Linked DNA regions of Ovis aries. The protein of the gene in region 2 interacts with the protein of the main gene of each other region in a biochemical or structural test. Links are inferred from orthologs where the notes say so. Each region holds a gene or a part of one and is shown on either strand. Other genes may lie near its edges.

Region 1 (4,208 bases), on a different chromosome or scaffold from region 2:
TATTTAGGTTTCAAGAAAAATTAGGCAGGTCTTCTTCTGACAAAGTGACAGGTCCTGTGGGAGAAAGTAATCCCACAAGACTAAGAGTCAGTACCAAATCCCAGTCATCTTACCACTCAACATCTATCACACTGGCTGGGTAAAGAACAGGCATCAGTAAGTGTTCATTGAATGAAGGTATATCATAACGTGCAATTACACTTAGTTAGTATGGTGTAGTTCAAACCCAGTCAGGAAAGTCAACCTTTTTTTAAGCAGTGAAACTTTTAAAAAAAGAAATCTATGTAGAACTCCAATACAGAATAAAAATGAAGCTGCCACTGGCCAGCCAGGCCGAAGCCAGTGGGAATAAACTAGCCTCCAATTCCCTAAACCAGCCCTAAGATGTATGTAATCCAGTGTGAAAACCACCATTTATTTTGAAAATGTGATAGAAGGCATGATCCTTCAGTTCTCATGTTGTTAAACTGAGGACATTACCAGCACTGTGTAGAAGAAATTCTAAATGATGCTAATTTAAATAAAGAAAAAATTCTACAAAGAGGAGATTGTATCAATTAGAAAAATGAAAACAAACCCTGTAAAGGGGAAAAAAAAAAAAAATCAGCAAAAATTAGGCCACAGTGGACAAAACAAAAAGTAAAACCAGCATCTCATTAAAAAGCAAATTAAGACCACTGAACATATTCATACAAATGTAACCACCACTACCACCACCACCACCACCACCACCACCGAGTCAACTGCTTGACTGGCCTAACTACTGAATACAATAGGTGCTTCCAAAGAGCTGAGTCCCAGCTTCATACTGTGTGTAAGAATCCCACCATAACTGCAGAGATGTGACCCATTACTGAAACGCTATAGACGGTACTGCTTTGCTTAACCTATCAATGCAAGAGTACCAGCCAGGACTTTCTACCATTTTGAGTTGTTCTTTGACCCCAGATAAGGAGCAGTATTCCCTAACATCACACGACTTCTCAAGTACAAAGGACAGGGCCTCCACACTTTCAACAGGTCTGACGGTGGTGATACCTGGGACTTTTATACCATCCACAAGGCGGGCTGTACAAGTAGTAATCAGTGGGCAGCAGGACGCCTGGAAGCAGGCAGCCAGCTGCTACAGTCGTGAAAATCTGCCCAAGGCAGAATTAAAGAAAGGGTTGCTCCATTAAATGGCAGTGACCTGGCGCAAACTTTTTATAGTAAGGACTTGAGGAAGAGGAAATACTAACAAGAATGACACATGAAGCAGTCCATTATAAAATAAGGCCACCTTCAACTATTATAAATTGTAGAACCAATCTGATCCTCAAGTTTGGATCTGTGAAGAGGTTTTTGTATAAAGCATAAACACCTAATAAATGATGAGTTTCCTTTAAAATATGCCTTTGCATTTGATGCCATTTTCTTTGCCAAGAATGCCTATTTTTCCCGGGCTCTCCACATGGCTTGCTCCTTTCTCATGTGTTAGCTCAATCATCACTACTTTACAGAAGCTTTCCCTCTGCTTTGCTCTATCACAGTACCCTGTTTATCTCCTTCATAGACAAATATGCTAATTAAGTGTTAGAGTAACTGCTATCTTGGCAAAGGCAAGGGCCATAGCTGTCTTGTTCACCTTTACCCAAAGGCTAAGAAAGTTCCTGGCACATGTAACAGGTGAACAATAAATATCTGTAGAACGAAAACTCACTCTACCACGTTCACATGAACATATACATGCCTACACAAACACAGGAAAACGGGGAACATCCGACAGAAGACAATCGTGTGTGGAAAGTACTGAAAACATCCCCTGTACATACAGGTGAATATGGTTATAAAACACAAGTACCAACCAAAGATAATCTGTCTTTAAAAATATGAAAACTTACTAGAAAGGGACCAGGAGTGGTTACTGGCTGTTTCTACTGAGATGCAAACAAGAAAAGTTTAAACTGGAATGAGTTAATAAACTAAGTAAAATAAGGATTATCTGCTGTAGAATGACTTCCAACAGAGCTTTTGACACCTCTGGTCACGCCTGTCCCTGCAGAGCATGAAGTATGGAGGCTTCTAACCGTCACCACATATTCAGGATTAGTTAAGAACAGCTCAGACCACAGGTATCCATAAGATAAAAAACTTGCTAAACGCCTTCTCCCCCAAATTTTACAATTCAGAATTCACAATTACGTAAAATAACACAGATTCTATAAATTTAATACAACATACCTTAAAAGCAGATGGCCCCTATCTGCTGATCAGACCTCAGCACTGCTTTTCTAGGTATTCTGCAGAAGCAATTACATTTACAAAAGGTCCACTTCATAACACAATCTGGTAATTAAATCCAATGAAATTCAACTCAAAAGAGGTTTGCTACTGAAATATTTGAAAGTATCTTTTAAAAAGGGGGTTTATATTTTTAGACTGAATTTTCAGAAAGGATAAATATATTGAAATAATTGCAGTATATCCCTGAAAATAATTATACTGCCACCTGTGCACTTTTTATGAGGTGTAAAGATAAATCAAAAGACTGCCAGGTTATACAAGCCTCTTATTAACTGTTGAAACTGAAATTTGGTGTAAGACAAAAGGGACTTACTCCATATGAATTATCATTGTACCGAGAATTAACTGGTGCTGGCAGTATCAGTACAACCATTGATGGTGATGGATGTCATGCTACACTGTTTTGATGGAAAAGTAGAAATGGAGGAGAGGTTTAGAAAGATTTCCATAAAGTTTCCTTATAATGAGATTTAGCAGTAAGTAAACAAACACAGAAAGAATGAATATTTAAGACCCACTGAACACATTAAGGTCAAGGATTTCAAAAGTTAATCCACTTTTCTTCCCCCAAGAGTTTATTTTTGGTAAAAGGCAGAAAAATTAGTTTTTCTACAAGGGAAATCTGCTTCTAAATGATAATTTGAAAATCTTGATATATATTATATATTAAAAAAGACACACAAAAATAACAAAAAAGTGGGAATAACAGATTAGGTACTGTAACTTTATAAAGGCTTGCCTAAATCAAGAAGCAGCACACACACACCTAATTTATGCAAACTAAAAATGTATATAAACAGCACAATACTGTGATACTGGATCATGATACATTACCTGTACACATAACTACTACTGTTATTAATAAACCTTTGGGACACTCAGTTTTATGCCCAACAAGACATCAGAAAGTCTTTAAAATCTTCTCTTCCTCCTTTACGGGAGAGTATTTCTAGACATTAATTTTCCCATCTAATATTCGAACATAGGAAACCAATTCCACAAGGTGCTTTAATTGATGAGACCTCAAGTGCTGTTTTCTCTTGAATTTTTGGATAGTAAACAGTCCACGGGGACCACACACAAATACTATGACAGAAGAGTTGGTACATTAAGTCTTTTGATGGGACTTGATTGGTGATGAAGCTTTATGACATGCTTGAGCAACGCACTGAAGGGGATCCCATCTGAGTTAATACTTTGTCCAACCACTGTAGAGGTCCATTCAGATGAAGTTCAATCCAGCAAGGAGTGCTTGTTACCGTCTGCCTTCTGTTTAAAAGAATGAAAGAAAATAATTACGAAACCAAAAGAATAACAGGGATATGGAAGAACTAAGATAAATCAATAGGTTGTATATACGAAAACCTAGATTCCTTTTTGAACGAGTATTAAGTTTGGACATCTATTATTTTGAAAACTGTTTAATCCTTTAAGTCTAACAAAGTACTTATAATGCTATAAATAATCACTGCCAGGGCAAGAGACATAAACCAGCACTGTCCCAAGCAAATCAGAATATATATAGTCACTTTACTTATTAATCATCCGAAGAATAGAAAATACTCAAATAGAAAATGAAGTCCAAATGGAACAGAGTTCAGACTTAAAGTATATCAAAACAAAAATTCTGACCCAAGCTTACCACAGAATGTTCAAAGCTGGGGTTCAATGTCCCCTGACAAAACAACCAACCAACATCCCTTTTAGCAAAATCATGCAGGTTTTTAGTAAGAAATACCTCTAGTACTTCAACTAAACAAGCTATCCTATAAAAATCACAAACTGTTCAAGAACATCCTGTCACTTCCCCATACAGATTTTAGTTATTTATTATATACAGTAAGTCAGTAAGTCTGTTTGCTTCAACATGACAACCCTGCAAACGTGAGGAAAGGCCACGATCAACTCTTCGCCTCCAAGCGACA
Region 2 (4,989 bases):
CTGTTGTGTGCAGAGATCTCATGGTTCAAATATTTTTCCTTCAGTTTGTGCGTACATGTGAGAATGTATATGTGGGGGGAGGGGTGTGTGTGTATATCTGTGACAAACACCATGCAAAAGCTGTTTACATCTTTCAGTAAAGGGGCAGCTCTATGTGAAGGACATAACTGAGTAACTACAATTCATGAAGCACCTTGAAATCAAAGACAGTCTATAAATGTAAAATACTAATATGGTATTAACTTAAAGCAAAGAACAATTATTTTACATCATCTGACAGTTCAAGTATACTGTAATCCAAATAAAAATTCACTATGGGATTTGCTCCTCCCATTTTTTAAAAGTAATTTTCCTCTATTATGGAACCCAGATCTAAATGAACTGTTAAACACTTAGTCTAAAGGTATGCCAAACATTTCTTAAGGTCTTAACAAAGAATCAACCTTTTTTTTTTTTTTTTAAACAAAATGAGGCCTAGGTTAAATATTTTATTTGGCTTCTCAAGATGGACTGAAAAGTTGGGCACCAGCTCCAGACCAATTCCTGGACGCACATCAAACACAGCCCTGTCATTTATCCAGTCAGTCAAAACAATCTTTTCCATCTAACTCTTTAATGTTTATGTCCTAAAAAGCTGCTAATTGAATCCAGCTCTTAAAATCTATTTGTTAAAATCTATACCATCTAATTTGTAAGTGGACAAAAATGAAAAAATACATATTAACCTTCCTGGCAAAACAGAAGGGACTTCTACCATTCGTAACCAAAAGGAAGAAGGCGAAGTTTTTAATAGTTAAATAGTTTTCTCTTAAAATATGACAGAGACAAATTCCCAATGGTTTTAAGAAACTGAGAGTATCTAAAACTGTTTTTACAATTAAGGGGACAAAGTGTATTTAAAATTCCTCAGAAAAATCTAAAAATACAAAATTACTCTATAGATTTAGCCCAGTATTCCCTATCCCTTCAAAAATAAGTGTAATCTTTTCTCCTAACTTTACTCATGAATTTTTATAATGTATCATATGTAGGAAGAAAACCACAGATAAACACTTCAAGATCTTCTGAATCACATTAAAAACCTCAAACTCATTTTATCTGCAAAAAGTCAAGAGCCCTGTTTTCTCCCTCATGCTCTCATCGTGTATATAACCTAGAAGGAATTAAGTGGCCACCAGGCTATTTCTGATGCCTTTTGCACACCTGGAATCACAGGTTCTTTCCATGATCACTGACACAAGACTGACTCCACAGAGGAACAGCAGTAGATAAACTCTACGACAAAGGTCCCTTACAAAGGTTTCCATTGATTAAGAAAATAAGGAAACTGAATGGGGGGAAGTAGGGGAGACAGGCATCCCCCAATCCAGGTTTTCCATTAAGAACCACTCAGTTAATGATTCTTTGCAATATTCTCTAGAGAAAGTAAAACTGTCATGAAAGTAATATATTTTAAAAATTGCTGCCAACATACAGTCAGGCTAAATTCTCGAATACCTAATTCACTGCAAGTTTTTATCTCGAAAGTTCAGCCAGTGGACTGGGATGTAACAGACAAGCATTCAATTACAAAATTAGTCCATATAAATCTCAAAGTCTAGTGGAGACAAACATAATTACAGTTTATTCTTACACACGCACCCACACACACACACACATTCTCTAAGGAAAGTCATCTTTCTCGCCACATATCCGAATATCAACCTGCATAATTTATTAATAGCGAATAATGAAGCCAGAATTACAATGGTTTCATTTACACGTTTCAAACTCCAAATAATTTTTCCCTAAAATGGGGTAAAACGACCATGTAAGATCAAAAATGTACTTGTAACACTAAAGATCTAACACACCTGGGATCATAAACACTTCGTAAGAAAAGCCTGCTATCCAGCAACCCCTCCAGACATTCTTTTCCATTTAGAAAAAGGAAGGGGAGGAGAGTGGGGAGAGAGAGAAAAACTCTGCTTCAAAGTCCGTTTGAGCACAAACTTAGAAAGGGACTCAAAAAAAGTGTGTTTTTAAAGCAGGTCTAGAGTTAGAAGCGAGACACAAGTTCTGCGGCCTACAAGGAACAACCCCAAACATACTACCCTACAATCAAACACTTCCAAAACACAGAGGGTACAATGAGCGCGAGTCGTCGGATCAGGCAGACACACCGGAAAAGTCAACCTCGGTCTCCTTCCCTATAAAGTCGTGCGTTTCAGGTGTGTGGAACCGACGGCTGCGCCTGGCAGCCGAGAGGGAAGGTTTTGCACGCGGGCATAAGTGGGCGAACAAGTTAACAACCGGGGAACACACACACACACCCTCCCGTTAAGCGCTCCATCTTTAAGGAGTGTTTACTGCGCGCAGTCAGCAGCCGGATTCAATAATCCCCGCCACAGGAGCTCCTCATCCCCTCCACGACCCCACCTGGGCAGCAGCCCAAGGGCTGCTCCCCGACGCCCCGGGAGAGAGTCGTGCTTCTCGGCCAAGGCTTTTCGACCTCAAATCCGCCTGGAATTCCAACGGGGGGACCCCCCCCCCAACAACAACAACAAAAGACCCCCGAGTCACCCTTGGCTTTTCTAAGAATCTCCCAACGAGGGAGACTGGTTTTGCAGTTACTCTCCCTGAACTAGGCCTTCCCACGTCCCCGACCTCCCACTCACCATTGATCGCGACCCTGGCCCTTCTCAAGGCCACAGGCACCCCCCGCCGGCTCGCCCACCCCGCCGCCGCCCCGGCCTGGCTCCCGCCGCCCGCCCAACCCCCTCACCTGTCAGGCGCAGCTTGACGGGCCCGTTCCTCCGGCCCCCGGGGTTAGACATGTCCCCGGCGGCGGGGGCGGCGGCGGGGCTGCGGCCGCGGCGCGGGGCCCGGGGCCCGGGGCCGGCGGGCGGCGGGCGGGGCGGGGGCGACGGTGAGGCGCGGCGCAGTCACCACAGCGGCCGGGGCTGGGGCCCGAGCAGCCGGCGCCGCGGCCGCCACGGCCGGAGGGTCCCGGATGTGCCGAGCGTCGTCGCCATGAGCCGCGGAGGGAGCGGGACGCCGAGCTCCCCCCTCCTCCCACTTCTCTTTCCTTGGCCCGGGCCGCACAACAAAGCGGCAGCCGCGGCCGGCCGCGCCGCCTCCGCCCGCGCCCCCGCCGCCTCCACGCAGCCTCCTCTGCCGTTCCCTCTTCTCGGCTCGGTGAGGCCCAGGAGCCGACGGGGCCGGGCGGTTGTGGCGGGCGGTGCTCGGCGGCGCCGGAGCAGGATTCTGGGCTCGGCCGCTTCCTCCTCCACCCGCCCTCTTGTCTGAGGAAACCCGGTCCTGGGGCCGCCGCCGCCACTCAGCGGCTCCGGGGGGCGGGGTGGAGACGGGGGCGGGGCCGACGAGGCGGGGAGGGGCCGGGGGCGGGGCCTGGGCGGCAGCGCGCGGAGCACCGAGGGGGGGCGGAGGCGTCAGGCCTGGCTTCGGCCTGGGCGCGGCGGTCCGGGCTGGTGAGCCCTGCTGTCCCACGCAGAACTTGAGGAAGGAGCGGGCAAAGGATCTGGGTGGCGGCGCCGACCTCTGTGGTGCCAGGAGGGCCTGGAGTTCAACCCGCTTAAGGGAGAGCTTTTGTCCGCGAAATACAGGCTGCCTTTATTAGACGCCCACCGCGTGCAGGGCGCTTCTCTGAGAGGCAGGGGCCAGCGGTTAGAACCGAACCTGCTGCGGTCCGGATTGAGCCTCGGCTGGAGTGAGGCAGGAGAGGCTCTTCCCACACCGAGGGTTCCGGCAAATCCCTAAGGGTATTTTGCTCCTGGTAGCGTAGTTTCCACCTCCATCCAGGACTCACCTGGTGAACGAGATCAGGTTACCAGCCTGCTTGGGCTCTTTTTTTCAACTGTAGCGCAGGGATAGGCGGATGATAATGCCTTAAAGGATAATTAACAAGATAAGCCTTTGAGAGCAATGTATGAAAGCTCTTCGTACAGGGCTGTATTTTGTTATCTCAGGAGGAAAAAAATAGAAAATGAAATAAAAATAAATGTACCTTACCCTTTGACCCTGTAATTGCACTCAGGAATTTATTCTTGATATAATAGTACAAAAGATGTTCTTGCAAAATTCGGTTAATAACAAAAGGGAGACGAGCTGACAGTCTAATGGCGAATTTCATTACATCAACCGCATAGGTTTTAATGCCCCCATTTAAGTGGCAATTACGAAGATCGTATAATATGGAAGAGTTTATAAATAATCAAAGTTTAAAAGCAGAATAAAAAGTGGTATCTATGCATGCAAAAGTGTACATGGAGGATTTTTTGTGTGTGCTGTTTTGCTTAAGGCTACTACTATTGCAATTTTAAATGTTTAATAAAATCTGATATATTTTAATCCTGTGTCATTTGTCTCTTTTAATTCATCAATAATGTCATTTAATTCTCCAGATCAAGTTACCTCCAAGAACTTCTCATCAATCTGGGTGAAGTGAAGTGAAGTGAAAGTCTCTCAGTCCTGTCCCACTCTGCAATCCCATGGACTATGCAGACCATGGAATTCTCCAGGCCAGAATACTGGAGTGGGTATCTGTTCCCTTCTCCAGGGCATCTTCCCAACCCAGGGATCAAACCCAAGTCTCCCAGATTGCAGGCTGATTCTTTATCACCTGAGCCACAAGGGAAGCCCATAAGGAAGCTCATCAATCTGGATACAGTCCTACAAATTAAACTGATGCAAAAATTATGTAAAGTTCCGGAAGTCGGACTAGAAATTCAGGAGACAGTGCTAGAAATTCATTCCACAAATGCTGAGTGCCTGCTATGTGCAGTAACTCTTCTTTGTGATACACAAGCTCTGAAAATACATTAAACAATTTCAACAATGGTTGCCATTACAGTTTAAAAGACTAGACGAATAATGGCAATAAAACTTACCAAACGGATGTATACATACACATTTGCCTTATTCTAATGGCACACATTGTTCCCAACCACCTACTAACACAGTTTGCAGTTTTGTATCAGTTAACAGAAG
Region 3 (4,208 bases), on a different chromosome or scaffold from region 2:
CTGATCTGCTAGCCAATGCCTTTGTAAGCAAACATGGCCACCAACTGTCTACATTTATGAATTATGCCAAAAAACTTACCTTTTCTGTTTGCCATTTTCAGTCTAAGGACCACAGGCAGTTTTACTTTGTATTCCTTTATTCTTAATCCTTTTTAAAAATGTATGCTTCCCTAAAGAGGAGGTTTGCACATAGAGAATTTGTTACCCTGATGCTCACTATATTCTGTTTTATGTCATATAGACACTGAAAGTAGTTTGGAGAGTCAATACCTGTTTTAAGAGACGCCTTATAAAGAACACTCAGAGCATTTAAAAAGTTTGTGTGAACCAAACTCCAAGTATCTGAAAGTATTTCTTCTATGGTTTACATTTAAAAGAATAAGATTCTTTTATTTTTTTCCTGGTCAGGCTTTTCAGACATTTCAAATCCTACAGCCAAGCCTGAACACATCTTACCCAATCCCAATTATGCCGGATAACAGGGTAATATGCCTATTATTTGCTTTAGAAAATATAGAAGCTACCAACCTTCTAAATTTATGATTAGATGATAGTAAAAGCCAAGCCATAAAAAATACTTCCCCCAAAGTTTATATATATACCTAGAAAACTAAAGGCAATTAATTAAATTTGTACATGTGTGTTCTGAAGGAAGGATTAGATAACTTGGGAGAACTGATTCTTATGTAATCAATTCTAACTTTAGCCCTTTACAACTGTATTATAACTTTATTTAACTTGGTAAAAGCCATAATTGATGGTTCTTAACATGGTATGTAGAGATCAAAATTAAAGAATACAAAGTACCTTATTAAAAAAAAAATTCAGCTCAATCCTGGTTCCCTCAATATTACTGCCAAACTTCTGTAAAAGAAACCTTGTTAATAAAGAAAGACTAATAGCAACATAGAAGATGATTAAAAAAAATGTTCATTTACCAATTTTGACAATCTAGAAAAAAAGAAAGTCTGACTATAATACTTGATGACAGACATCATGTTTAAGTAGAAAACACAAAGATAAAAAAGTAATATTGCTGAAAATATTGCACAACTTCAGGTGTTTCCTCCAAATTTGCTTTATGTAATTGGATATAAATTAATGAACAAAAACTTAAGGAAGATACATGTAACAATTTAACAGAACCTGATAATCTATAATTTCTTTCAATTTTTCTCAAACTCATCATGGGGCTCATAAGAAAATTAACCAACATAGATACTGCTACAGTTGAATGTCAAATCTTTAAGTGCTTCTGACATACTAAATTCTTCTTAATACAATTATGAAGAACCCTTCAAGAGACTTGACTTGTGTTTTGTATGTAGAAAAGTGTTAAAGAGTCAAATATTCAACTCAATACAAAATAAGAAACATTTCTGATTTGTTAAGGTTGAGATTGCTTCTCCTTTCGCTAATGAATGATTTTTTAGTTGTAATTATCACTGAGCCAAACAAATATGTCATCTTCTAGTACATAACAAAAAATAAACACATGCTAAATGGATAAAACATTACAAACTACATCTTTGCTAGACCATCTCTACCTCTAACACTTCAGAAGCTTAGAGTTTCAGAGAATTCCTACATTTAACTGCAAGAAAAAGATAAAGGAGAAAGTCTTTTTTTTGAGATCACAACTATGATGTCATGTGGTTATACAAATTCTGCATTTGTGTGCAAAACATTAATTAAACACATTTATCTTAATTCTCCCTGTTTAGAATTGTCAGTCAACTAGCAGGACTTTCCTTCTAAGAAACAGAGACTGAGATGTGTTTTGTGTAACTTCAATAACCTCAGCAATACAACAAGAGATGCAGTATCCTTTTGCTATGGTTCAAGACAACAGGGAAGAAGGTCACAGGAGAGAGAAAATCAAAATTGTTACAACTGAGAAACTTTCTCAGTTTAACCATGTTGCCACTTTCATTTTTACATAAGCATGGTGGCATAATTCGAGCTCAATAAATCAGAATTCCTAATATTTAAAATTTACCTTGACTTTTAATTATCACCATATTAACAACCAAAATAATTATCACCTATTAACAACCAAAATAATTAGATGAAACACATAAGAAAGGCTAATATTAAACCTGACTTTACTAGAGTTGGTTTCTTGACACATTAACTGATTTTTAATAGAAAAGGGATAGTGCATCTCAGTTTGCTTACAAGCTAGGAGATCACTTTGAATTCTGCATTTCCTAACTGCAAACAGATATAGCACTTATAACAGGTTATAAATAAACTGGTTTTCAAGCATAGAGCCAGCCCCAACGATAATAATACACTATTTAAAAAAGACCTAAGGCAATGAATTCCATTTCCAATGGAAAAAAAGAACTGTGCAAACAAGCTTAAAACTACTTTTTTTGTGCCAGTGTTATAAAATGTAGCTTTTAATAAAACCTTGACCCAAATGCCAGCAACTTCAGAAAAGAATTTGGGTGGGGGAGAAGAAGAAAGTTATTTCATTTAGGAAAAAACAACCACTATCTTTTTCCTAATCTTTGACACACACAATTGAAACATATACAGCTGCTGTAACACTTTACACAATTCCTATGTACTGGAGCAATAACAAGATCTAAATACAATTATATTTTTAAACACTGGGTCAAGGCTTTACATAAAAATACCATCCTACTTTTCCCCCTTAGTTTCTAAAATATCACGTACTTTTCCCCAACATCTGCAGCCATTCAGGAAATTTTAGGAAACTTTTGTGCATGATCTTAATTCCTAATCCCTGGCTCTTTGGGCTCAGTGACAAAAGATCAAAACCACCAAAAATGATGGTTCACTTGAAGTCAGATGAGAGACCCTGGCTCAATTAGTCTCGTAGGACGAAAGCAGTGCTGCATCAACTGGCTCCATGCAGGAGGGGCACGTGAAGGATCTCATCAGCCAGTCATCTATACAGTCCAGGTGATAGATGTGCATGCACGGCAGAAATCGAATTGGGTCCCCATAAACAAAGTCCATCATACAGATCACACACCTGTTGGGGTGAGGGAGAGAAATGAGAAAGCATTTTTAGACAAGTGATCTATCTAGAATACTCTTTAAAATCCCCATTACAAAGACAATGTTAATATGAACAGACAAAAACGGCTTCCTGTCATTCTATCACCTAAGCATCCAGACGGAATTTTTTCCTAGCATTATCCTGCTACAATCTCTTTTTTCAATCACCTGGGAATTTGAAGAGTTTGAGAGCAATCAACGAAGAGAAACGTATCAGATAGGAATCAAGTTCACTGCTAGAATTGTGCTTGTAAAACAGCTACATATTACAGAAGACACCTTAAGGAGGATGTGAAACTTTAGTAGACAAGAAACCATGTTAGATTAATTTTATTTGAACTGAGTTTTCAGTGTAAGCCCAGACAGCTTTCAATTTAATAACTACATGTAAATACAGAACCACTAAACCTAAATGGTGCTACAGCTCAAACAGCCAAGCACAGCATAATAAATTACTTTATGTCTGTTGGTAAAGATCATTCTTAACCTACAAGGAAAATAGTTGTTCTCAGGGATTCTCAAACAATAATGAACTCTGAAGGAAAAATCTCCCTGAAGTAAAATTTTATATTTAACTCATCAGACTTAGTACAATTATTCTATAAGTTAAGAAACGGATAAGGTTTTCCTCATATCACTAAAATCCTTAGCAAACAATTTTAATCCCTATATAACCTACCAAAGTATTCCTCTATTATTATTTTTCACTAACTAAAATTATGGTAACTATCTCTGCGCATAAAACTCTGGGAGCTGAAGTGAGGTACATATTCTAGGATAGATCTCTAGAATTAACTGTCTCAAAGGGTTTAGATCTAAAGGTCTGTGAAATATTGCCAAACGGCTTTACCAATTGATTAGGCCACCAGCAATGCTGGTACTAGTTCACACTTATTACACAGTTAAATAATTTTTAACTGACATTAACTGTCATCCAAATGGACACAGGCAACCTATAAAACGGTCAGAATTTGTACCATCATTTATTTATTTTTATATGAAAATTCTTAATTTCTACATCTAAACAAATTTTTGCCCAGAATTCATTAAATATCTGACTCTCAAAATGCAACAGAATATTTTTAAAAAACAAATCTCTGAAGACAGACCTTTGAAACATGTATAAATTAAAACTTACTCCCGGATCTTTTTTTCTGATCCATCTCTTCCAGGGT
Region 4 (4,208 bases), on a different chromosome or scaffold from region 2:
CCTTGAGTAAACGTGATCTCGTGTCCTTCCATGGCCCAGTCCCATCCTATTTTCTAAACATATCCCCAACTGTCTTAAACAGCCTCCAGCACAGCCAGAGTGCAGTCCACACGTGCCTTGCCCTCCTTCACCCCCAGGCCTTTGCCCATATCATCCCCTCTGCCTGGAATGCCCTCAGCCCCTGCCCCCATCACCCTGTGCCTACCCCTTCCACACTGGTGCAGGCCCATGGCTCCTTGCAAGCTCAAATGCCTTACCCTCCATGAAGCCGCCTCTGAACCATCCTAACAGGTAAATGCTTCTCCCCCTGGGTCCCACAGCATGTGACCTGTGCTGCTTGCTTTGTGCTTAGCACCACCCTCCCTTGTATTAAGCACATTTGAGTCTTTGCCTTGTACACTCAGCTGATGGGTACACTGAGAGGGCAGCAGCAGGGCTTCCTGTACCCTCCCATCCCCCTGCAGCTTCCAGCATGGCTGTAGGAAGGAAGGAGGAAGGGAAGAAAGACGCAAACAAGCATACTACCTCAGCATCTGTGCACACAGGCAGGAAACAGGTACCCACAGATCAAAGGTAGACCTGTCAGATGCTGCATCTGTTCTGCGGAGGTTCCAGGAGGTCACGGTAAGACAGCAAGGCACAGAGAAAACTCAAGTGAAGCATCTCCAGATTGTCAGTGCAAACACCAATGAGGAGAGAAGGAAGAAGAAAGCTTTCCGGCATCCCAGGCATGCGCCGCAGAGGAGAGGTCCACAGGGAAGGGGTGGGTGTGTAGGTGGTGGTACCTGGTGGAATCTTGCAGACGGTGGCTGGGTGCCAGCCATAGCGCTGGTTACAGTTGGGAGACTGCACAAAGATGGCGCTGTCACTGAGGCATTCTGCGAAGACCTCCCCTCCGATGTAGTACAGCCGCACGCCCCGCCCTAGAGAGAGTCAGGTTAGCCTGGACCAGCTCTCTGGCCCCCACACAGTGGTCCTGGCGCCCGCCGCAGCAACCACAGGAGGCAGAGCTGCAGTCAGTGTTCCAGGTGGCTGGTTCTCCAGTAGCATCACCAGGCAAACGGGACCTGAGTCCAGGCCTAATCCCACCAGGAGGTGCTGGGTGATGCTGGGCTGCTAAACTAGGGAGGCAGACAATGAGAGGAAAGAGCACAGGTAAGTCTTAATGGTAGCCTCCACCAGTGATCTGCCACAGGCCCCAGCCAGTTACTCAGCCTCAGTTTCTTCATCTGCAAGATGGAGATGATGATAATACCTACCTCACGGGTGCCTGGTGAGCAGTAGCTGTTGCTGCTACTATTAGGTCCCTTCCCCTTCCAACATTCATGTAGTTGGAAACTCATGTAGTCAACCTGCAGAGCTGCTCAGGCAGCAGACACCCCAGGAGCCCTTCACTGCAGGCATGGCTTAATTAACGCCACCCCCTGTACCTTTCTCCTCTCGATGCGTTTTTCTAAATCATTCCATAGGTCTACATCATTTCGTGTTCCTTCATCTCTTAAATCCACTCCAGATGGACAGAAATTATTTTTAAACTGGCCCTGCAATTCAAGCGGTTACATAAACCCTCCAACAATCCTCAGCAATCCTCGGCCAGGGGATGTACTCTTCTGCCTGGAAGGCCTCTGTTCCCACTCCAGGCGGGGAGAGGCCCTGAGGGCCGGGAAATGGAGCCAGATTTCACTCGACGTGGAGTGGGATGGAAAGCAGGTGATCGGCTACAGGCCTGCCACCTCGTCCCACGGCTGTCCCCTGCCCCCACTCCCCTGCTCTGCCTGGCTCGGTGCTACAGGACTTGGCGTCTCGAAGACCCCAGGGTGCCGGCAGACCCGGGGAGGGGGTGCCCAGTATTACGTCAGTCAAGAGCAGGAGGCAGAGGCAGAGGTGGAGGTGGGAAGACAAGATCCAAAGAACAAAAATGTTTGTTTGGGTAACTTTTAAAATACTATTTTTAGATACAGAGAAGTATGAAGTGAATAAACAAACCTCTGTGTATACCACTGCAGGTCTTTTTAAAACAAGTGGGAGGCTGTCTGGGAAGGGTACGGGCTTGGGGCGGAGGTCTCTGTGTCACACGCTTGCTGTGTGCCCTCTGCCCCTCCCTGGAAAGTGATCCCACTGCTGCAGGCCCATGGCTTTCCAACTCTTACCTGGAAAACCCTCTCTCTACACGAGGTCTTCTGTGAAGGCCCACGATACAAGCAAGAGCAGAGGTGCTCTGGTTCACATGGGCCCGGACCCCTGCTGCCCTGCTCAGCTCTTGAGTTTGCTCTAGAGCCCCTCGGCCACCGTGGATGCACTGAACAATGTCTGAGAATACCCACCCTCTCTACACCATCTCTACAACCCTTCCAGGTGACCCTGGATCGCAAAGTTGTGAACATCCTCAGCATGATAATTTTATGAACAAACCGAGGGACACACATCAAGGCTTCACCTTCCCTATACTAAGTGATCTTTCACCACGGGCTGGGGCTCAGAATACAGTGTTAGCAGCAGTGCTGTCCCAGCTGCAGGCAATGAAAGTGAAAGAAAGGGAAAGTTGCTCAGTCGCGTCCGACTCTTTGCGACCCCATGGACTATACAGTCCATGGAATTCTCTAGGCCAGAATACTGGAGTGAGTAGCCTTTCCCTTCTCCAGGGGATCTTCCCAACCCAGGGATCGAACCCAGGTTTCCCGCATTGCAGGCGGATTCTTTACCAGCTGAGCCACAAGGGAAGCCCAAGAATCCTGGAGTGGGCAATACCTCCCGTCTTTTCACCTTTTCTAAGTTCCTAGGACAACTATATATGAAATGAACAAATGAAAGATCACTCCTCCGAGACAGTCTATCTACTGGTCTGCGCTCCGTACTTTAAGGGTATTTTTATTAAGAGAATGGCACAGCTGCAACCTGGATTCTACCTGTCTTACCCTAAACAAGGGGACAGAGCCTGAGGGGCAGGTGAGGGGGGCGCGGCACAGTGGCGGCCGGTGGGTCCCCGCGGGGGCTGGGGTGGGCTGGGGTATCGCGGCCGCCCCTTACCGATATGCCTCCGCGTCAGCTCCACAGCCGCGTTCCGGTTGACGTTGGAGAGCAGCCCCAGGCAGAAGCGCTCCGAGTTGGAGGGGTCGGTGAAGCCATCCACCGTCATGGACGGCTGGGAGGCGTGGAATGTCTCCCCGACGCGCTGGTTGAGCTCGTAGTAGGAGATGGAGCACCAGAAGGCCGGCTCACAGTAGGTGACAGGCTGCAGGTCTGGGGAGACAGGCCAGGCTGCTGGGTCAGGGAGTCCCTCGGGGCTCTGGGCTCCTGGGTGGGGTCCCCTGGATGCCCTGGAAGACTGTTTCCTCACCTCTCAGAGGCATTATGATCTCCCACCCTGTTCCTGTGCAAAACTCGCAGGATCTGGGGGGCAGAACCCTTAGGTTTTGGGAGACACATTCCACCGGCCTTGGCACTGTTTAGCTTGAGCTCATAAAGGCCCTGCCCCGCCTGGCCTTAGGTCAAAGCCATCTTCAAGGAGGTGCCAGGCCAAATCTGAAAGGCCCTGGGACCAACAGACACCTGGGCAGATGCACCAGACAGGCCAGGGGTGTCCAGGGCAGTCTGGTCCCGCCACCTGCCTTTCTTTCAAGGTCCCCATAGTAACCCGTGCTGGTCTCTGCCCCCTAAAAGGGCCTGCAGCTTCCGGTTCTGCCTGATCATGGGCCAACTCCTAGCCCTTCTCGCGGTAGCGTCCAGGCCTGTGAAATGGCCAGAAGATGAGGCTGGTGCGACCCCGGGTGTCCATCCGTGTTCAGCAGTTGCAACCACACAGGCACCAGGTGCTGTCTGCGGCGTGAGCCGGGTCCCTGCCATTGATTACGGAAGCTATGCTCCACACGTATCCAGGTGCCATCCATCGGGGCGGCTGAGACACACACACCTAAGAGAAACTGATTTTATCCCAGTTGCTAGCCTGTGTCTCAGTCAAGGGCACCTTAGAGCAAACTGCCATCCTGTGAGGGGGTGGTTCTCAGAAGCGGTAGGCACTCTGGAAATAGGTTTCCCTTCACGTGACCCCACACTGCCTTTCCTGTGACTCGTGCCACCTGCAGCCGTTCCAGGCTCCACACCTGCCCAGGTGCCCTCCTCCCGCCTGTCTCTCCTTCACTGCTCATCTCAGGGTCCGACCTCCTGGCCAGGGGCCAGGCCCTCATCATTCCTCATTTGCACCAGTGCCT
Region 5 (4,208 bases), on a different chromosome or scaffold from region 2:
TTAGCATTGCCTGGGTAGTATAAGGACCTTAGAAACTCTAAATTCATTTATCCCTTCTGCTTTTTTGTTATGCATTTTAATTCTGTCTTTTAAACACCGCAAGATATTCCTGTAATTGTTTGGTAAAGTCAGTACCCTTATGGAACTCTTCATTTTTTCCTACAGTTTCTTGCTTTTCCCTTGTGCTTGAGAATTCCTCCTGGAAGCCAGTTATTTCAGATTTTGTTTGTTGTAAAGCACTTTTATTTCGCAGTCATTTTTGAATAACTTCTTTCCCTCTGAGTATCGCGTTCTGAGTTACCAGCTATCTGCTACATTTGGCAGGCTCAAGATACCATTTTACTGTGGTTTTGTTCTCATTGTTCCTGTTGAAATGTCAGCTGTCATTCTTATTGCACTCATTTGAAAGTATTGTGTCTTTTTAAAGATTTTTGTGGTAGGTTTTCAGCAATTATACCATGATATGACACATGAAAACCTGTGGATTTCTATGTCTCCTTCTTGGGATTTGTAGGGCTTCATGAATCTGTGGCTAGATGTCTGTTGCCAGTTTTGGAAAGTCTTTGGCCAGTAACTTTCAATATACCAAATCCTCTCTCACAGTTTTTCTCTCCTTCTTTCCTTTCATCTTGATCTAGTCTAGTATTAAGATGATTCTAGGCTGTTTCTAAACACTATCCATTTCAGTTTAGCCCTTGCACTAGGGCATACCTCTTCAGGGGTCTCAGCGGAAAACCTGGTATGTTTACCAGAATTTCTCCTTGGCAGGCCCTCAACTCTGTTTTTTTTTTTTTTTTGGATGGGGGGACTCTCCTCAACACTGTGAGACTCCTGAAATCTCTGCTTGGTCCTTTAGCTTCTTTCTACTTGGCTTCTTACAATGTAGCTTTGGCAAATGCCTTGAGAAGAAAAGCAATGAAGAATGTTTAGCTTATCACTTCATCACTTTTCACATCTTTCCAGATGTGGCCCCTCATGTCCTGAGTACTTTGATTACTTATTGATGCCTTTAAAAAGTTGGGCTTCCCCCCCGCCCCGCACCTTGATTTATTCATTTGTATTTTATTCAACTTTTATAGTTGTTTGGGGAGGAGGTTGATTGGATACCTGCTATGCAATCTTAGCTGGAGTTGGTGCAAAGTTATCATCTTTCATCTTTTTCACCATTTGCATTTTTATCTAGTGAAGAGTAACTGGAAGGTTTAAATGAAACAGCTTGACTAAAGTATTTGGTACAGTATGGGTTCATGCATTTGATTCGTTTCACGTCAATAAAAAGCATATTTGAAGAAGCAGAGAATGAATTTCCTACCTTAATTCCCTAATAGTCCAAAGGCATAGACTTATTTACTGAATAAAGACCCTAAAATGTTGCTACATTTATCTAGTATAAATATAACTAACTACCTTTTCTTTTAGCATGAGATACTTGAGCAAACCAAAAACAGATGTTAAGACTGTTGTAGTTCTGTTGCTTTTAGTTTTTGTTGATTGAGGTATATTTTGAAATAAATATTTTAGAGCCCATGAGTGACTATAAATATAAAATATCACAGTATCTGTTGAGAACTTGAACTTTTTTTGCTTCTACCTCATAACTCGTATAAAGAGTAGCATACTTCGTTTTAAATTGCATCTCAGTTTATTCATCTATAAAATTGCAATGATTGTATTACCTAGTTGAAATAATTATTTAAAGGGTTAAATACTGTGCTGGTCTGCTGCCATAACAAAATACCACTGATGGAGTGGCTTAAATAAAATGCATTTCTTACAGTTCTGGAGTCTGTGAAGTCCAAGATGAAGGGTCCAACCAGTGTGGTTTCTGGTGAGAGCTATCTTCCAGGCTTGTAGGCAGCAGCCTTCTTTCTGTTTCTGCAGGTGGCCTTTCCTCAGTGGGTGCACACATAGGGCAGGAGAGAAATCTCTCCCTTCTTATGAGGCCACTAATCCTCTCAGGTTAGGACCCCACCCTCATGACCACATTTGACCTTAATTACTTCCTTAAAGGCTCCAGGTTCCACCTCCAAATAGAGTCGCACTGAGGCTTCAATATGAGTTTGGTGGTGGGTGGGTGCATAGTCCATTCCATAGCACACTGTAATACATAAAAGCGCTTAAAATAGTACCTGGCCCATGGTAATTGTTTAATAAATTGTGATTTTGTGGTGGAGATGATTTTAAACATCTTTTCCCCTTTTTTCTTTTCTAGGTGCTCGCTTTGGGTTCCTTTTGGAAACACCAGGAATGGTCATTTCTACTTTTCAGGACCTCCGCACGAAGCAGCTAAGGAGAATCTTATGTAGATAAAGTGAAGCCTCTCTCACTGTCCTTCCGCGTTTGGGGACGTCTGTATTTCTCCCTCCACAAGGAGTGTGCGCAGCACCATCATGAACGTGACAAGTTTGTTTTCCTTCACAAGTCCAGCTGTGAAGAGACTTCTTGGCTGGAAACAGGGTGACGAGGAAGAAAAATGGGCAGAGAAGGCCGTTGATGCTTTGGTGAAAAAACTGAAGAAAAAGAAGGGTGCCATGGAGGAACTGGAAAAGGCCTTGAGCTGCCCGGGCCAGCCCAGTAACTGCGTCACCATTCCCCGCTCCCTGGACGGCAGACTGCAGGTCTCCCACCGGAAGGGGCTGCCTCACGTCATCTACTGCCGCGTGTGGCGCTGGCCCGACCTTCAGAGCCACCACGAACTGAAGCCGTTGGAATGCTGCGAGTTTCCCTTCGGCTCCAAGCAGAAGGAGGTGTGCATCAACCCCTACCACTATAAGCGAGTAGAAAGCCCCGGTGAGTGAGTCCGTTCCTGTAGAGGCATTGAGCAGATCTGTGTTGCTTCTCGAAATCATCCCTTTCCATGTGTTTTTTGTTGTTGTAATTTCTAAGAATTAGGGGAAAAGTCATGTCTGTCAGTCCTTGAAAGGGTCATCCGTTCTAACAGCATAGTCTCTAGTTAACTTTATGTCTTGGGAGCAGGGCTGTGAAAACTGTCATGGAGGCATTAATACATCTACCTTTCCATAAATTGGTTTTTTTGCTAAATTTATTCTTTATGTTTCCCTTTGGTTCTGTGCATTTCTCAAGACAGAGGTAGCTATGATTTTATTGCAAGGGAAGAAAATCAGGAAAGAAGCATGATGTTGCTGTCTACATACTTGAGGGTGGTTGCCAGTGACTTATATCACTTTATCCTTAAAAATAGCGCTTTTTATCATCTCCAGTAGAATTTTGTGATGGCATACTCCGTGTGGAGGATATGAAGGAATTATGTTCTGCTGTGGAATCATCTGATACTATTACTTTATATGAGATACTCCTAGTTTTTACATGTGTGACCTTGAAGGGGGTGGAGGAAGCATAATAAAGGTTTAACATTTACTAGGTTTTGACTTTAATTAGACCCACATTCTAGACAGTGGCATCAGTTGGAAAGTGATTAGGCAATCTCAGGCACTTAAATATCTCAGTGTCAGATTGGAATCAAATTTGTTGATGGATTAGTTATTAATAGCTGATGGTTACCAGGTGTTCCCAAATGAGGCTGTGTGTTAGATTCATGTGGCTCTCTCCCAGAAATTCTTATTCTGGCAGAGCCCAGTGATCCATGTTTTTGTTTTTTGGTTTTTGGTCCATGTGTCACATGTACTCCAGATAGTGTTGATAGGGGCTATTGGGTTGGTGTTTGGGAACTATGCTATATCCCATACTAACCTGACTGTCAAATGAAAAGCATTCTGGTTTCTTATGGAATATTTATGACATTTCAAAAGGGAATAATAAGCATCTTTGTATCCACCACCCAGTTGCCTTCAGTAACTACTGTTCCGAATTTGATGGTTAGATTTGATGGACATCATTCCCAGGCATGCTTTTTACTGTTGTTTTGTATGTATGAATCCTTGACAGTATGTACTGGTATTTTGAATAGTTAAAGGTATTGTATAGTGATATTAGAGTATCCTTCTATAGCTTGCTGCATTCATTCAACATCATGGTTTTGTGAGTTCTGTATTACACACTTCAGGGTTACGTTGTCAAGGCCTGTGAAAAATCCTCAGGAGGTTTCATTTGAATTTCACCGATTTCATGTGGGGAAGGATTGACATAGTTGTGCTCTTGAGCATAATATTTTTCTAAATTTATTTAGGTTTTTAGGTTTTCTCCTTGAAAGTTCTTGCACATCTTTTCTTAGGTTTATCAGTATTTCT

Evidence for each region.
Region 1: the proteins of SMURF2 (region 2) and SMAD2 form a complex in vitro, tested with the Homo sapiens proteins (3 studies listed by BioGRID and IntAct, with this or other methods). The link is inferred for Ovis aries from reciprocal best matches to the Homo sapiens genes SMURF2 and SMAD2.
Region 3: the proteins of SMURF2 (region 2) and RNF11 form a complex in vitro, tested with the Homo sapiens proteins (3 studies listed by BioGRID and IntAct, with this or other methods). The link is inferred for Ovis aries from reciprocal best matches to the Homo sapiens genes SMURF2 and RNF11.
Region 4: the proteins of SMURF2 (region 2) and SMAD3 form a complex in vitro, tested with the Homo sapiens proteins (2 studies listed by BioGRID and IntAct, with this or other methods). The link is inferred for Ovis aries from reciprocal best matches to the Homo sapiens genes SMURF2 and SMAD3.
Region 5: the proteins of SMURF2 (region 2) and SMAD1 form a complex in vitro, tested with the Homo sapiens proteins (2 studies listed by BioGRID and IntAct, with this or other methods). The link is inferred for Ovis aries from reciprocal best matches to the Homo sapiens genes SMURF2 and SMAD1.

The regions. Positions count from the first base shown.
Region 1 is NC_056076.1:47,829,243-47,833,450, forward strand, and holds part of SMAD2 (mothers against decapentaplegic homolog 2), read right to left. Parts: intron 3,553-4,208; coding exon 3,429-3,552; 3' UTR 1-3,428. UniProt on the Homo sapiens protein: Receptor-regulated SMAD (R-SMAD) that is an intracellular signal transducer and transcriptional modulator activated by TGF-beta (transforming growth factor) and activin type 1 receptor kinases.
Region 2 is NC_056064.1:48,569,602-48,574,590, forward strand, and holds the start of SMURF2 (E3 ubiquitin-protein ligase SMURF2), read right to left. Parts: upstream 3,287-4,989; 5' UTR 2,817-3,286; coding exon 2,765-2,816; intron 1-2,764. UniProt on the Homo sapiens protein: E3 ubiquitin-protein ligase which accepts ubiquitin from an E2 ubiquitin-conjugating enzyme in the form of a thioester and then directly transfers the ubiquitin to targeted substrates.
Region 3 is NC_056054.1:25,719,694-25,723,901, reverse strand, and holds part of RNF11 (RING finger protein 11), read right to left. Parts: coding exon 4,172-4,208; intron 3,008-4,171; coding exon 2,836-3,007; 3' UTR 1-2,835. UniProt on the Homo sapiens protein: Essential component of a ubiquitin-editing protein complex, comprising also TNFAIP3, ITCH and TAX1BP1, that ensures the transient nature of inflammatory signaling pathways. Promotes the association of TNFAIP3 to RIPK1 after TNF stimulation.
Region 4 is NC_056060.1:13,982,469-13,986,676, reverse strand, and holds part of SMAD3 (mothers against decapentaplegic homolog 3), read right to left. Parts: intron 3,241-4,208; coding exon 3,028-3,240; intron 2,001-3,027; exon of another isoform or gene 924-2,000; coding exon 731-923; exon of another isoform or gene 1-730. UniProt on the Homo sapiens protein: Receptor-regulated SMAD (R-SMAD) that is an intracellular signal transducer and transcriptional modulator activated by TGF-beta (transforming growth factor) and activin type 1 receptor kinases.
Region 5 is NC_056070.1:12,847,229-12,851,436, reverse strand, and holds part of SMAD1 (mothers against decapentaplegic homolog 1), read left to right. Parts: exon of another isoform or gene 1-1,959; intron 1,960-2,212; 5' UTR 2,213-2,390; coding exon 2,391-2,790; intron 2,791-4,208. UniProt on the Homo sapiens protein: Transcriptional modulator that plays a role in various cellular processes, including embryonic development, cell differentiation, and tissue homeostasis.